Linked DNA regions of Ovis aries. The protein of the gene in region 3 interacts with the protein of the main gene of each other region in a biochemical or structural test. Links are inferred from orthologs where the notes say so. Each region holds a gene or a part of one and is shown on either strand. Other genes may lie near its edges.

Evidence for each region. The genes of interacting proteins can lie anywhere in the genome.
Region 1: the proteins of CCNA1 (region 3) and MYBL2 form a complex in vitro, tested with the Homo sapiens proteins (2 studies listed by BioGRID, with this or other methods). The link is inferred for Ovis aries from reciprocal best matches to the Homo sapiens genes CCNA1 and MYBL2.
Region 2: the proteins of CCNA1 (region 3) and MCM4 form a complex in vitro, tested with the Homo sapiens proteins (2 studies listed by BioGRID and IntAct, with this or other methods). The link is inferred for Ovis aries from reciprocal best matches to the Homo sapiens genes CCNA1 and MCM4.

Annotation. Positions count from the first base shown.
Region 1 is NC_056066.1:72,204,498-72,209,533, forward strand, and holds part of MYBL2 (myb-related protein B), read left to right. Parts: intron 1-1,531; coding exon 1,532-1,603; intron 1,604-2,421; coding exon 2,422-2,514; intron 2,515-2,668; coding exon 2,669-2,889; intron 2,890-5,036. UniProt on the Homo sapiens protein: Transcription factor involved in the regulation of cell survival, proliferation, and differentiation. Transactivates the expression of the CLU gene.
Region 2 is NC_056062.1:32,580,870-32,585,905, reverse strand, and holds part of MCM4 (DNA replication licensing factor MCM4), read right to left. Parts: intron 4,839-5,036; coding exon 4,579-4,838; intron 4,313-4,578; coding exon 3,947-4,312; intron 3,524-3,946; coding exon 3,396-3,523; intron 2,690-3,395; coding exon 2,482-2,689; intron 1,747-2,481; coding exon 1,518-1,746; intron 1,126-1,517; coding exon 992-1,125; intron 346-991; coding exon 253-345; 3' UTR 1-252. UniProt on the Homo sapiens protein: Acts as a component of the MCM2-7 complex (MCM complex) which is the replicative helicase essential for 'once per cell cycle' DNA replication initiation and elongation in eukaryotic cells.
Region 3 is NC_056063.1:25,416,869-25,422,702, forward strand, and holds the start of CCNA1 (cyclin-A1), read right to left. Parts: upstream 3,499-5,834; 5' UTR 3,364-3,498; intron 2,836-3,363; exon of another isoform or gene 2,144-2,835; 5' UTR 2,120-2,143; coding exon 1,955-2,119; intron 1-1,954. UniProt on the Homo sapiens protein: May be involved in the control of the cell cycle at the G1/S (start) and G2/M (mitosis) transitions. May primarily function in the control of the germline meiotic cell cycle and additionally in the control of mitotic cell cycle in some somatic cells.

The DNA.
Region 1 (5,036 bases), on a different chromosome or scaffold from region 3:
TCTTTTTTTATTTGGCTGCCCTCGTCTTCGTTGTAGCACATGGGATCATTTTTTCGGTGCCACATGCAGGATCATTAGTTGCAGCATTTGGAATCTAGTTTCCTGATCAGGGATTGAACCCAGGCCCCCTGCACTGGGAGCACAGTCTTAGCCACTGGATCACCAGAGAAGTCCCTGGTTTTTATTTTTGACTACTTTAGATTCTTCATATGAGTGGACTTAGGCTGTCTCTGTCCTTTTGTGTCTGGCTTATTTTGCTTAGCATAATGTCCTCAAGGTTCATCCAGGTTGTAGCTTGTAACAGAATTTCCTTGTTTTGAGGCGGAATAATATTCCACTGTATGGATAATACTACATTTTCTTTATATGTATAAATTAAAAAAAATAAGTTTGGGGGATTCCCTGGCCATCTAGTGGTTAGGACCCCAAGCTTTCACTGTGAGGACCTCAGTTCAATCCCTGATGGGGGAACTGAGAACCTACGAGTTGCAGGGGGTAAAAACAGTCAGTTTGCTCTAGGAATATTTTACACACAAACAGCTACAACTGTTGAAGTACAATCCAGTGAGTTTCAGTGGATGTGCTGCCGTGAAACTCACAGCAACACCACCTTGCTGGGTGTTCCCATCACCCCAGGCATCTCTTGCTCCCTGCTGTTCATTTCTTCCACCCACCAACCAACCCTGACCATGGACACCACTGACTATCTTTTTGTCCCTATAGCTTTGTTTACCTTTTCTAGAAGTTCCTCTGCACAGAATTAAGCAATGTGTACTCTTCTTATGTCTGACTTCTTTTTCTCATCCTAATGATACTGTGATTTTAATGTTGTTGCATGAATCAATAGTTTATATTCAGGAGAACGAGTTTATGTTCAGGAGAGTGTTCTAACAGATATGTTTTTCCATTCCAAGTGCCCACGTTTCCCTGTCTCCAGGGCTGGGTCACTGTCGTCTCTGGCCTGGATGCCTGTAATGGCCTCCTATCCTCCATTCTGCCCTCCTGCAGCCCTTTCTCCTGCAGCTGCCAAAGTGAAGTTCACAACAAGCACGTTGGACTGTGACCACCTGTCAGTGGTGATGCTTCAGTGCATCTGTGGCCTTGCGTGACGCAGAGGCCTGAGTCAACCCTGCGTGTGCTCTGATCCCCGCCGCCCCCGCCCCCACCCCCAAATCCTCTTGCCTCCCTGTCTCCTGCTTCCTGCAGCCTAGCCTCACTAGAGTTCCTTGGAGCCTGTCCCTTGGGTCCCCCATAGGCCTCATTGTCCATCTCTCCATCCCTGCAGCACAGAGTGGCCCTCCTTTTGTTTGCAGGAGCCTTTGATTAGCGTCTGCTTCCCGCTAGACTTTAAGTCCCCAAAGTTGAGCAGCTCTGATGCTGGCGTGCCTGGTGCACAGTTAGATGATCACTTCATCACGTGAATGGATGAATGAGGCTGTTCTCTTTGTTGGAGGGAGGGTGGGTCTCAGTCCAGAGCAGCCGCTTTCTGCACGCGTGTGAACTGAGCCCTCTGTCTTCCTGGCTTTGGCAGGACGAGCAGCTGAAGGCCCTGGTGAAGCAGTTTGGACAGCAAGACTGGAAGTTCCTGGCCAGCCACTTTCCCGTGAGTGCAGCCCCTCTGCCGCCCTCTCCCCCGGATAGGGAGCCTGGGAGAGACTTGGTGTCAGGGAGAAGAAAGGAGAATTCCTTACCAGGCGCCCCCGAGCTCTCCCAACAAAACAACCTTCCAGCCTCCTGAGGCCCTTTCTACCCAAACTGGAATCGGGGCACCCTGATGTAAGCGTCCCCACGTGGCAGCCTCTGGGTGCCTGGGGGCCTTAGGCTCCATGATCATGCGTCGTATCAGTGGCATATTTGCATTTCTTCCTGCAAGTCACTGACGAGTGGCTGCTCGGTTTCTCAACCGTGAAACTGAACCTGAGAGGAAATGATGCTTGAGCAGGCTTCATGGTGAGGCCCCCGCAGAGCTGACCCGAGCCACCATGTCCAGCATCTAGAGCCTCCTGGTGATGTGGCTCCCCCTAGGATCCCCCACCCCCAGCTCTGCAGGTGGCCGACAGGGAGGGGATGTGGCAGGAGCTGCTGTTGGCTTTCCTGGCTCATCAGGCAGCTCGGGGACCAGGTCACCAGACCCTTTGGCCCCATTCCTCACTCCCTGTCCTCTACAGGGTCTGAAACCTTCAGGGAAATAGCCCCTTTCAGAAGCAAGCGAGAATCCCTGATGTAGCCTGCAGGCTGGCACAGGGCAGTTGTGGGCAGTGGCTCTGCACAGGGTTCTGAGTTTGCCTGCTTCCATCCAGGCCCACTTGTAGCAAAGGGAACCACAGTGTCCTGGACCGTGGGTGTGTAGTGTGTGGGGGTTCTGGGAACGAGGTAGGGCCACAGGCCAGGAGTTCTCAAGGATGCCTGTCCTTTTCCCAGAACCGCACTGACCAGCAGTGCCAGTATCGGTGGCTGAGGGTCTTGAATCCAGACCTCGTCAAAGGGCCATGGACCAAAGAGGAGGACCAGAAGGTAACGCCTGGGCCTGAGCCTGCTACACCGTGGCATTCACGCACCCCGGGGGAGGGGGTCAGGAGACTGAGGATGACATCCCACTGGTGGGTGCTAGGGTGGGAAACAGGGGGTGGGGGGGGTCCCGCTGGCCTCACAGCGTCTTTCCCCCAAGGTCATCGAGCTGGTCAAGAAGTATGGCACGAAGCAGTGGACGCTGATTGCCAAGCACCTGAAGGGCCGGCTGGGCAAGCAGTGCCGTGAGCGCTGGCACAACCACCTCAACCCCGAGGTGAAGAAGTCCTGCTGGACGGAGGAGGAGGACCGCATCATCTGCGAGGCCCACAAGGTGCTGGGCAACCGCTGGGCCGAGATCGCCAAGATGCTGCCGGGGAGGTGAGCCGCCCGCTGGGGCCGGTCAGGGCATCCCCTGGCCTTTGTGGGGATGTTCAAGGCCTAGTCCGATTTCTCTGGTGGTGTTTACTCTTCCCAGAAGAAGAGGCCTTCAGATTCTTGCCTCGGGCGGTGCAGGGACCTGGCTGCTGGGAGACTGGAGCGGGGTGGGGCGGGCCTGGGGGCCTCCTGTTCACGGTGCAGGTTCTCATCTGGGCCCACTTGGCTTCGTGCCCTGGCCATGGTTGCACGCGTTCTAAGTCACTGAAGTCATGTCCTGACTATTTACGAGCCCGTGGACTGTAGCCCACCACACTTCTCTGTCCATGGAATTCTCTAGGCAAGAGTACTGGAGTGGGTTGCCGTGCCCTCCTCCAGGGGATCTTCCCAACCCAGGGATCAAACCCGTGTCTCTTGGATCCTCCTGCACTGGCAGGCAAGTTCCTCACCACTGTGACACCTAAGAAGCCACGTGGCTTGGGTTGCCTGGTCTTTTTTTTTTTTTTTTTTTTTTTAATAAAAGAGAGTAAGTCTCATTCCTCCTGGTCTGGACGTCCAAAGCACTGCTCTGTTTTCACTCTACTCCTCACTGGGCCTGGCCGCTCCAAGCACTGGGTCTCTCGAGGTTCTGCAAGGAGAACTGGAACAACTTGGGACTTGGGCTGCAGTCTTGCCAGATCGTCCAGGGTCCACCCCAGTCTCCCGAGTTGCTTCACACAGTTGCTTCTGGAAACTGTAAAAATCTCTTATTCACCACTACCATCTACCCTGCTCTCTTGTCTGTGTACTTGTGTGTGTGTGCATGTGTGTGTGTGTGTGTGTGTGTGTCTGTGTGTGTATGTCTGTGTGCGTGCGTTGACCACCCCGTATAGCACACAAGATCGTCGTCGTTCCCTGAGCAGGGATTAAACCCATGCGCCCTTCCTCAGGAATGCTGCATCCTAATCACTGGCCCTGTCCATGGGCATTTCTACTTTGCTTTATTTCTAATCTTTTCTTTACGATGGCATTGTGGTGCCAGGGTAAATGGCATGGAGGGAAAGGAGATAGAATACCAGATGGCCTGTTTTCCCTGGAGTCTGAAATACCTGTTTCCAAACTCAGACCTAAGTGTGTTAATACTTTTGGTGCTTCCACTAACCCTTGGATGGAGACTCTTCCCTGTGTGGCCAGCCTGACCTCGCTGATGCCACAGCCTCACCTTGATCCGCAGTCACCCTCGCTTGCCTATCGGGCTTTGCACTATGCTCTCCTCCCGCCCACAGACATGGAGCCTGGACGCCCCCTGCCTGGTGCCCACTGTGTAGCCAGCTCGCTCTCACCGTTTGGTTTTTGGTGGGGAATGTTTCCTCGGGGAAGGTTGGTCTGTCCTTCCCGCCTGTGGTGAGTCCCTGGCCACCTCCGCGTAGTGCCCAGACCCTCCTCTGAGACTGGTGGCCTATTCAAGCTGTTATTCTGGTGGAAAAGCACTCAGCCCAGAGCCCCAAAGAAGGCACTGTCCCTGTGTGTCCACAGTTGTGCACTGCTGCGACCCGTGTGCGCTGGGGCCGCTCACACCGACGCCGACGCGTGCTTCCGCGGCCCGTGCTTCCCTGAGCCTTGTCCCACTCTCCTCTGCTGCTCTGTCCTGCTCTGCTGCGCACCCATCGGCCTCTCTCCGTCCACACTTCCTGCGCTCCTGTACCACTGTGCTACCCTCCCTGCCTTTACGTGTCACTACTCTGACTTAAGTGACAAGTGATGGAGGAGGAAGTGATCTAATTTTCCAGATGAAAAAGCCAAGGCTCAGAGTAGTCAGCAGGAGACCCTGTGTTTTCTTGCTCTGCCCTCTCTGGTCATTTTCTATCTATGGGAGGTGATCAGGGCTCATGTTTGAGATCCCCGAGCCTCAGGACATGGGCCAGCAGCCAGCAGCTTGCTTCCAGTTTCTACAGATGCCCAGGGAGCTGGGAAGGGTCTGAGGGTTGCCAGAACACTTAAGTGTTAGGATTTTTACCCTGTCGGCTGAATAAGATGTTTGCTTACTTCGCAGAGGTGTGTGGAAATACTCTGTAAATCATGCCAGGCTGCAGGCATGTCAGACTTCATCTTAGAGCCCTTAGAGGTCCTCAGGTTGAACCCTCCTTGACAGAAGCCAGAGCTCAGCTCAG
Region 2 (5,036 bases), on a different chromosome or scaffold from region 3:
CGCAGTCTGCAGAGAAGAGTGCGTCCTGCTGTCTGTAGGGACACGCTACTCAGCCCTGGTGCTCCATGATACTCAGTCTCTGCCTCACACACTCAGATGGCCTAGGACGCTTCACTCAGTATCAACAGATGAATACACGGGCTTCCTAGGAACAGTGAAGCCACGTGAGAAAATTCTCATGGTGCCAAGCAATGACCTTGAAGCCCCTCCTCCTGCTGGCGGCAGGGCCAGGACCATGCTGCTCCTGGGCCTTCAGAGCAGACGCACAGTCTTCCCAGTTACTGTCAAGAAGTCGTCATCCGCCAGGGCGCGCAGCGCTTCTTCAAACATGTCCTTGGTGATTGCCTTCAGGGAAGAGCAAAGAGTTTACATCTGGAGCTGCCCTCCCCAGACACACAAGGAGCCCAAGTTCAGAAACCACTGGAGTCTCCTGCCTTCTGGGCGGCTGGACAGACATTTCATGCTCCAGCTCTTCCCCTAAAGGGCTTGATGCTAAGCACCACAGGCCTGGCGCCCCTGGTCTGTGTGAACCACTCAGCGGTCATGTGGGGCCAAGAAGGGGGTGTCAGGAAAGCAGGCAAGGGCTGGTCCCAACCAGCAGAGCCCCTGCCGTGAACCTGGCTTTCCTAATAACAGCCAAAAACTGCAAACACTAAATGTCCACCGACAGTTGAGTACATGATGGGGAAGGCATGAGACAGAGCAAACATGTCGCAGTGGATTCAGTGTCACAGAAAGAGCTAAGACTGTCACTGATTAAAAAAGAAACCACTGACTCTGCTCAAAACTACTCATCTACATCCACACAGAAGACTGAAAAAATTCTCAATGTGATCACTCACTATGGATGGGGACCGTACTTCTCTTATGTGTATCTACATTTATTACTCAAGCAGTAAATGAAGGGGGAAAGCTAGGGAAAAAAACTTTAAAGCAGCATCAAAGGAAAAGAAAACTATTAAACAAACAAAATGTCCATGTAAACACTTACTATGTCAGACTGTCCCCGAATATCTTCAAAGAGCTGCTGGTATTTCAGGGTTGGTGTCTTGCCCTTTGATAAAATAAGCTTTCTCAATGCTTCCGCTAACTCTTCTTTCCGCTTCCGAGAGGTAGCACTCATTCCTGAGTTAAGAGAAAGCAATGAAGATGTTTCTCCCATAATCAAGGGAACACCTTTCAAATCTCTAGTATTTCTTCTAAAATAATCTTTAGTCTTGTCACCAGACAAGGTAAGGGGATGGTGGCTGAATGCCAGAGTGAGGTCTGAATCCTGTCCCCAGTTTTATAAAAGCTCAGAGCCGCTACTGGCCACTGAGACACAGCCCAGCAGTCCACACAGGAGTCTGTGTCCACAGAGTCCCCCTTGTGGGGGCCTGAATCACTCGGTGCCTGGACGGCTGGGTGGGACAGAGCTGGGCCGAGTGTGCCAGCGTCTGCCTCCGCCCAGCCCCATCGCGTGTTCATGGGGGCTCTGACTCGAGATAGGGCAGCACCCACGTCGGGGGAAGGCTGACCTGTGGTGAGGATGGAGATGTCTACGATGCCTGTCCGCGGGTCGGTGGCCGACTGCTTCAGTGCCTCCCGGTGCAGGCGCTTGGCCTCCTCCACGTCAATGGCCTCCACCTTGTTTGAAAACCGCACTTTCGCGTGGGCTTCTGCCAAGCGGATCAGTGACTCCAGCTGCCGGGGGTACGCAGACACCATCCCTCGGCTACTGCCAACCTTCCTCATGTCCACGTAGGCCTGTAAGACAGGAGACAGGCTGACTCCTCACATGGTGACCGCAGGGAGGGAAGTCCTGAGGGGAACAAGAGCATGGTCTAGCCTTAGGCCTCCACCCTCATCTGGGGGAGAGGTGGCACCAGTGGGGGGATTGTGGCGCTGGGGAGGGAGCTGAGGACTTGGCCTGTTCACACCCTAGGAGGACCAAATAGCAGCAGGCCAAGGGGCGCTGACACAGAGCACACAAAGGGTAAACTGTGAACTCGTGTGGATGACCTGATTCTCAAGATGACCCAGAGGGAAAACTACGAATCACTTCTAACTGTCACTTGAGCATCTTCAGAACTGTCAGGATGGAAAGCCCACCAAAGCACTAGGAACCTTCCTAGTGTCACAACATCCATGCGTGTCACCAGGCACTGCTGCCCACTTAAAAGGTACTGAGAAGTGAACATAAAATACTTCAATTCTTTAGAAATGAGCAAATGCAGCTCAGAGACCAGAATTACAAAGTCACTAAGTATTAACAGCCTCACCGATATTTCAACTCAGGCATCCTGGTCTTAAATACACTGTGCTTACAAGAACTTTAAAAAGAGCACACAACTTGTAGAAATAATCCTTTTCCCTCTTCCACACGTGGAAAAGTCAGCTTTGCAACACAGGAAGGAAAACAGTTGTAGAAGACAGTGTTGTTCTTGACTAAAGACTGTTTCAGGGCTGAGCAGGGCCCAGCAGCACTTCGGGCCGCGGTACCTCGACGAGGGCCTGGCTGGCGTCCTGGCTGAGCCTTGGTGTCACGGTGCTGTGCGCGTAGGCGATGTAGTCCCTGAGCACCGCCATGTCCATGCCCTCCTCCTGTGCCTGCTCCTCACTCTGGTAGTACAGGGACACCAGGTGGTGAGCCAGGCGCCGGTCGTATGCCTCGTCCTGGGGGTCCAGCATGAGGAAGATCAAGTCAAACCTGAGGAGACACAGTGATGGTGCCCAGTCAGGACACCCACGCACCTGATGTGGACCTGCGGCCTCCGTGGGAGTGGCAGGCGCGCCCGGCCCAGGTGGTCCGAGGAGCTCAGGCCCCCGGGTCTCCTGCCCCAGCCCTCAGTCTGCCTGGGAATAAGTGTTGGGCGCTGAAGGTGAGTCAGAAGCAGGAGGCTCTGGAGGGAAACACTGCTGTGATTCTGAAGACTGGAGGAGGTGAGTGAAACACATTGAGCTGTGCTGGGGAAAAGGAACTATTTGTGTAAGAAGTGAAGGAACCAAATTCTAAAACCCATTTATGAAATACATCCATCCTTGAGAGGAAGCCTGGGTCACATCTCCCCTCCCACAAAGGCAGCTCTCAGACCCTTGTCTATTGCAGGAAGCTGCTCTCTGCACTTTGCTGATTGTCTACAGTGGCTATAGGACCAAGAGCAGCAAGAGGTGGGCTTCTGACAGAATGGAGCAGACAGGCCCCAACCGCTCCAAGAAACAAGCATCCGTCAAGGTGAGCAAGCGCGTGGTCCTCACCTCAGGACCCGTGACTAAGCAGACATGCAGACCACACCAGCATGAAGAGACGGCGACTGGCTGTGTTAACTCTGGTTATTTCCTTCTCACCCTCACCCTGAGCCTTCCACAGATGAGGAAAATGAAAGCATTTGTTTGATGAACATGTGCTATCATACCTTGATAAGAGTGTGTGGGGCAGCTGGATGTTTTCAATGGTGGTTTTTTTCGGATTCCACTGAGACTCAATCGGGTTTGCTGCTGCCAGGATGGAGGTGCGGGCGTTGAGCTGACAGATGATCCCAGCCTGCGGGAGGGACCGATAGCGTGGTCAGCAGCCTCACGCTGAGGCCAGCAGGAGCTCAGAGCCCCTGCCTCGGGTGGCCTTTGCCAGGAACCCCTGGCACCACAAGCACGGTACCTACAGCATCCACTGGGGAAGCCTAAGCTGAGTTTCACACCAAGGATGGAGGTGGGGGTAAACATTTGCTGTGACTACATCTTCTCAAAAACCAAATCCCTGGCATGAGATTTAGGACAAAAGTTCTGTGAACACCAGGCATTAGAGGTTAGTACCGCACAGAGGACCCAGGTCCTGTAGAGGACACTCAGATGGGCTGGGACCTGACAGCAGAGTGTTGGCCAGCCTCCCGAGCTGCAAGTCCAGACGCTGTGGTCCAGGCCCCATCCCCCACCCCCACGCAGACATCAGAGCGGGTGGGTGGCTGACCTTGGCGATGGACAGTGTCTGCTGCTCCATGACCTCGTGTAGCACGGAGCGCGTGCTTTCATTCATCTTGTCGAACTCGTCGATGCAGCAGATGCCATTGTCGCTCAGCACCAGGGCGCCGGTCTGCAACACCAGCTGCCGTGTCTCAGGGTCCTTCATGACGTAGGCAGTGAGGCCCACGGCACTGGAGCCCTTCCCGGACGTGTACTGGCCCCGCGGGACCAGGTTGTGCACGTACTGCAGCAGCTGGGACTTGCTGGTCCCTGGGTCCCCGCACAGCAGGATGTTGATCTCCGCGCGGAACTTGCCCCTCCCCGTGTGGCTGAAATCCTTTCTAGTCCCGCCGAAGAGCTGAAGCAAGATTCCCTGGATAGACGGACAGACAGGTCTCAGCACTCACCTGAGGTGGGTGGTGGAGAGGCAGGGGGCTGAGCAAATGGATGGTGAAGAGATCAGAGGACGAGAGCGGGTCAGAAGCCACACAGGGCCTGCCTGGAAACGGGTGAGCCGGGGGTGGAGATGAGGGTGCGGCCCCTGTTCCACCCGAGGCTCAGCCTTTCCCGGTGTTCACACCATCTGACCTTGAGCTTTCAGGCCTGGCCGTAAGCAAGAAGCCTTTCGAGGTCAGTTACCTTCTTTATGTCTTCATGCTCATAGATGCTTGGCGCCAGGGCAGATGCAAGCCTCTCATAGATGTCTGGCTTCCTGGAAAGCTCTTTGAGCAACTCCACACGTTTCTCAGAGAAAAGTTTCTGCTCTGCTTCTTCGTCAAGGCCATGCAGACGCTTTGAGTCAGTCTTCCGGTAGTGAATGACGTCAATGTGGGTTTTGTAGACAGACTTCACATTGCTCACTCTGGGGTTGATGCGAATGGGGACGGCTCGATAGATGCCTGAAGGCACGAAGGACACCCTCTCACCTGCCTGCTCTCAGTCCAGAGCAGGGGGAACAGGGCTCTGGGGGCTCTGAGCCCAGCCGAAAGGCTGACTGGGGAAACCCACCTCCACCCGGCGCCTGCCTGCTGCTGTGTTCAGTGTGAGACAGAGTTCTTATTTCTCTTTAAGGGAATGTACAGTTATTAATAATTTGA
Region 3 (5,834 bases):
AGGAGGGTGGCAGGGCATACGATACTTGGGGGCATGTGGAAACTCACAGTTGCATCTATATTTTTAGGAAAATAGGATATAAAGTTATAAGCTGAGAGGCAGGATGGAGATAGAGGCTTTAGAGGATAAAGAGAGAAGGGAAAGTATAAAATAAAAGATTTCTATAGGACGGTTGTAGCGGAATAGAACCGGGGAATGCAGAGGTAGCACCAAGCAACATAGAGGGTAACTAACAGTTATGAATTTACAGTGAAACCGCTAAGCACAGGGGTAACTGCCCATTCAGGAGAGGTTTTAGACTTCCTGTTTTAATTATTTGTTTATTTTTAATTGGAGGGTATTTGCTTTCCAATTTGTGTTGGTTTCTGCCATACATCAACATGAATCAGCCGCGGGCATACATATGTCCCCTCCCGCTTGAACCTCCCTCCGACCCCCTACCTCATCCCACCCCTCTAGGTTGTCACAGAGCGCTGGGTTTGAGCTCCCTGAGTCACACAGCGAATTCCCACCAGCTCTTGCTTTTACATATGGTGATGTACATGTTTCAGTGCTACTCTTTCTATTCATCCCACTCTCTCCTTCCCTCACTGTGTTAGACTTCATGTTTAAAGAAGTACACCGTGTCGCTAAGCAAATTAAGTTTGCTAAAACCACCTTTACTCAGCTTTTTCCAAAGCTTGAAACAGATTACTTTGGGTAATTTTCTCCCACTAACCAGATGCCACCAAGACACAAATGACTTGTGTCATTGTGTAGAAGAGGAGTAGGAGTAGTCAGTAGATGAGAAGCTTCTGATCTGGCCTCCATCATGACTTTTATTTGGGTGGGAAGGCTTTCTCAAACCTCTCAAATTTTCTCACCTGTACAATGGAAAGGATACCTGCCCACCTACTCCACTATACTACCGCCAATAGATATGCAGTACAAGCTTATGAGAAGCTGGTGTGATGACAGACTTGAGGAAGTTTTGTTGTTGTTGTTTTTTTAATCTCAAAATTCATTCTTAAGGATCCAAACTCCTTATTTGCATTTTAAGTGTTGAATTTATTTACCCTCTGTTTACATTCTGTTAAGGGAGGTGCCTATGATTAATTAAGCACAAGCAACCGGACATTAGATGGCCCATGATCTTCTGCCCAACTGTCCATTATCAGTCCTGGGGAGAAGCTGACTTTCAAAGCACACATTTGTAAGTAATCTAGTATGCTGGGATCCAATCCTGATTCTAATACCATCACCAATGAACTTAAAGGTTATCGGAGATGCTTCAGGGCACAGCCTAGGTCAATCTGAATACCATTCTGATCTAGAGAAACACCAGTACCACAAGTTAATTTTGGAGAAAGAAATCACAACCCACTCCAGTATTCTTGCCTGGGAAATTCCATGGGTAAAGAAGCTTGGCAGGCTACAGTCCATGGGGTCGCAAAGAGCTGGACACACCTTCGCAACTGAACAACAATAGTTTATTTTGGTGCATTCACAATGTCCTTTTAGCCCGGAACTTAAGTGCTTCCCTGGTGGCTGAGGGTGAAGCGTCTGCCTGCAATGCAGGAGACCCAGGTTCAATCCCTGGGTCGGGAAGATCCCCTGGAGAAGCAAATGGCAACCCACTCCAGTATTCTTGCCTGGAGAATCCCATGGGTGGAGAAGCCTGGTAGGCTACAGTCCACAGGGTCACAAAGAGTTGGAAACGACTGAGTGACTTCACTTTCACTTTCTTTTAAGTGACTTTACACATATTTGACTTAAACAGTTCCTAATAACAAAGAAAATTATTTAATATTGCTAGCTGAAAAAGGGACCTTACAAAGTGCTCTTTTAAAAAATCAGTGCCCCTATAGGCCAGATTCCAGGGCTGAATACTCAAGGGGAGTTTGTGCAGAAAATCTCAAGAGATCCCACTTCCCACCAAGACACGGGGGCCTTCCCAGCTCTTCCCAGGCATTACCTGGCCACAGGTCCTCCTGTACTGCCCATTCTCAGTTAGCACTCCTAGTACTGTTCTTTGTGGCGGATCCTGGCCGAACTGGCCTCTGGTTATCATCTGACAGGCATCAGGACCTCGGGACACTGGAGCCAGCACTACTCCACTCTTGGAGCTGCTGAGATGCATAGCCTCAGTCTCCACAGCTTACTGCTGTCAAGGAAGGAGAAACAGACAAGCCAGTTAGTCAGCCTCTTCCACGAAGGATAAGGATCCAAGGATGCTGAGACTCTCTAGAAGACACAGCCCTGTGACACATGATCTTCCTTGCTGTTATTAGGGTTGAAAGGGCCTGAGCCACAGTGCAAGTGATCAAAGCCGCTTTAAACCAAAACGATGATTTGAATCTCTCCAGCCTTTCTTCCAATACCTGGCTGATGGCTGGAAGAAGAGAAGAATATGACAAACCTCCAAGCCAAGACACTAACCCCCACATTAGTGGGGAGTTCAAACCTACAAGCCCGTGTCTTTCCTGGCTGTGATGCTTATCCATTACTCCACCACCCCCTTCCCTGCAAACCAGTGACCCAGGATACATCACTGTGGGAAAGTACGTCCCCTTCTCAAGTGACAAGCAGAGTGCTCTTCCGCGGCCTTCCTCCCACAAGACAGAAGGCCCCAAAATCTGCTTGGAACCCACAGCGGACCTCGCTCTTCTCAGTCTTATCTCTTTACACATAAGTCTCGAACAATTAGCAAATGCACACGAGGATTGGGAATAAGGGTCCAATGAAGGGGGCGGGGCCGGGGCGGGGCGGGGCGGAAGGGGACGGAGGTGTTAATAGATTCTAGCCGGGGCGCTGGGCTCCCAGCGTCTGCTGCCCAGCTCAGAGCTAATTACTTTCAACTCCCCCCGCCCCTCGCCGGCCCCCGCGTCTGTTGAATCGGCCAATCAGCGCAGCTCCCGGGCCTCGCGGGGGCCGTTTCCATGCCAACCGCAGGGGGGCGTGCGCGCTCTGCGGCCTCATCTCTATGGCTACCTCAGCACCCGAGGACGCACCGCGACCCTTGGGCGTTCAGGGCTGGGTGGGGCCAACCGGCGGCGGCCCTGAGCCCCTCCTAAGCGGCCCTGCCCGGGCGTGTCTGGGCGGGCGGCCGCGGTGGCCGCGGCCCACGCCCCCACTGTGGCCGATATCTGTAAGGGAAGAAGCAGGCCCGCCCCGCGATGGCCGGGGTTTGGAAGGGACTGTTTTTACTTGAACCGGTTCCCCAACAGCCGCTAACTCCTCCCGCTAACGTCTTTTCCGCGGCCCGCTCCTGAGAACCTTGGCCCGGGAGGGCGACGCGGGGCCCTCGGGGCTGCTGAGGCCGCGGCGCCTTGACCGCGCCGGGCAGACAGCGCGGCTCACTCCCCTTTCCCCCAGCTCACACACCTAAGCCTACTCCCAGAGAAAAGCCAAGTGGCAGCGAGCGGGCCTCTGGTTGGAGTCGCGGCCTCAGTCCGTGGTGGCGGCGTGTTCTCGGTCATTTTGGGTCCTTGCGCACCGGAGGCCACGCCTGGCCGACCTGGGTTCCGGTGCATGTAACCCGACAGGGCGGGAGAGGAGACCTGGGGTTTTAGGGTCGCACGTGGTGCTCTAGGTCCCCAGGAGAGAGACCTTCCTCGACGGTTCCGGCAGCCCCAGCGTGAAGCTGGCCCAGGAAGAGGAAGGAACGCGAGTGGCAGCGACGGGGTCTGGGACGTTGAGAGGGGATAGCGGGGAGGCTGGGAACCAGGGACTGGGCAGGTGGCCTGGTCACGTGGGAAGGAAATCCTTGGATCCGGGGTCCGCGGCAGGGTAGGGTGGAAGCAGGGGGCCTAATTTGGGGGTAAGAGGTGAGGGTAGGGAGAAGGGGCCTTGGCCACGCAGGAAGGGAAGGGGGGGGGGGTCCTTGGAAACTAGGGAGCCCTGGAACTTGCAGAGGTAACTAGAGAGCCAAGTATAAGAATCTTTACCTTTATTATTTTTTTGAAAATGTTGTTGTGCACACACACACACGTTACTGCTTTTGTCTGTTTTTAATTTTTAAATATTCCCATCTCTAAGTTCCCATCCATAAAACAGATAATGGAAACCATTCAAATGGTCGTTTTTTAAGAACTCGTTATTTCCTTCTTCCTTGTTTTGAATGAAAATAATTGCTAATCTTACACCTCTCCCAGTTTTTTCTTAAGTATTCTTTATTAATGGGCTCACTCAGCGATGTGTATGCATTACTTTAATGGGAAAATTGAAGTATTCTACAGGAAATGAGGATGAAAGCGATTGAATCAGGTGTTAAGAGGCAGTTAGGAGGCATCTTGCAAATCACTCCTGGATGCCCAAGGAAAATAGAAATGGATTTTAATGTGAAACTAACTTCTACACATTTATTACCCACTTTCATTCATTGGGAAGCAGCGATCCCTTTGCACCCTGGAATTCCTATGCCTTCGGATATGAAGGCAACACAGCAGCTCTGGTAACAACTCAAATTGTGGCAACATATGTAGGTAGGCCCCAAATGCTTGGTTTTGCAAGGTGCTGCTATCTGGTGAGGAAAAGAGCCTTTCTGCCCCCTTCTCATCTGGTGCTGCTTTTGGAAGTCTTCTGGGGAGGCTTCCATCATCTGACCACACTATTGTGACTTCTGGAGACTCTAAAGGCGTCAGGGGTGGACTCTGTTAGGGACTCAGGAGCAGGTCTTTCCAAGAGCCAGGGTTACTTTGGCAGGAGCTAGAGGCTCAAACGGTAGAGAATCTTCCTGTAATGCTGGAGACCCAGTTTGAGCCCTGGGTTGGGAAGATCCCCTGGAGAAGTGAATGGCTACCCACTCCAGTATTCTTGCCTGGAGAATTCCATGGACAGAGGAGCCTGGTGGACTATAGTCCCTGGAGTCGAAAAGAGTTGGACACGACTGAGTGCCTTTCACTTTCACTTCTGTGCCCTCCTGTGACCTGATGCTCTGTACATCCCTTTTGATATGATTTACTTGATTGAGGAAAGTGACCAGAAACCTCATACTCATCCTTTCTTCCAAAACAAAAGAAGCCAGTGCAGTGTTTGTTCCTGGAGCCTGTCGTTTTGATCCTCTTTTCTGAGACTGAAGCTCAAGTGGGAAAAGGGTAGCACTGGCCCCGGGCAGAGGCAGGTCTTTGAAATTGGCTGTCCTGACTCACACATCTGGTCAGAACCAGAGAAGGAGGCTACTAAGGAGTCTGTACCTCTCAGCTGTCTCTAGTCCAAAAAATGCCTTTTAAAGAGAAAAGAACTCTTAACCAGATGAAACCCTCTGGTTATTTCACATCTTCCCCTACCCCTTCTCGTGTGAATTTTGTTGTTGTTGCCATTCAGTGCCTTAGTCGTATCCGACCCTTTTCGACCCCATGGACTGTAGCACGCCAGGCTTCCCTTTCCTTTACCAACTCCTGGAGTTTGCTCAAGTGAATAGCTGCAGCCTAATCCAACCTTAATGCATATGAAATATTATCATTAAATATTACCATCTTTCTTCTTTCTCCATTCACTTCGTTAAACTTGACAAAGAGCACCAATATGTGGCTTGTGAGTTTATTGTTGTACTGCCTTCGAATTCAGTATTAAAACATCACAGTTCTCTGGTGAGATTTTAAATTGCAGAGTAATTGAGGTGAACTTTATGCATTTTTAAAATATGTGTATACATATAAATTCAGATATTTATATAACTTGCACAATACTTATGGCTTTCCTGGGTTTTTAAAAAAATCATTAAATATTTGAACTAGTAATGATTTATGGTATAAAAACAAACTCAACTAATAAAATCACAATTTTTATAAAAAATGTTAATGGAAAACTTGGCCTTATACTTAGGAAAAACTGGAGCAGAGCGAATACAAAAG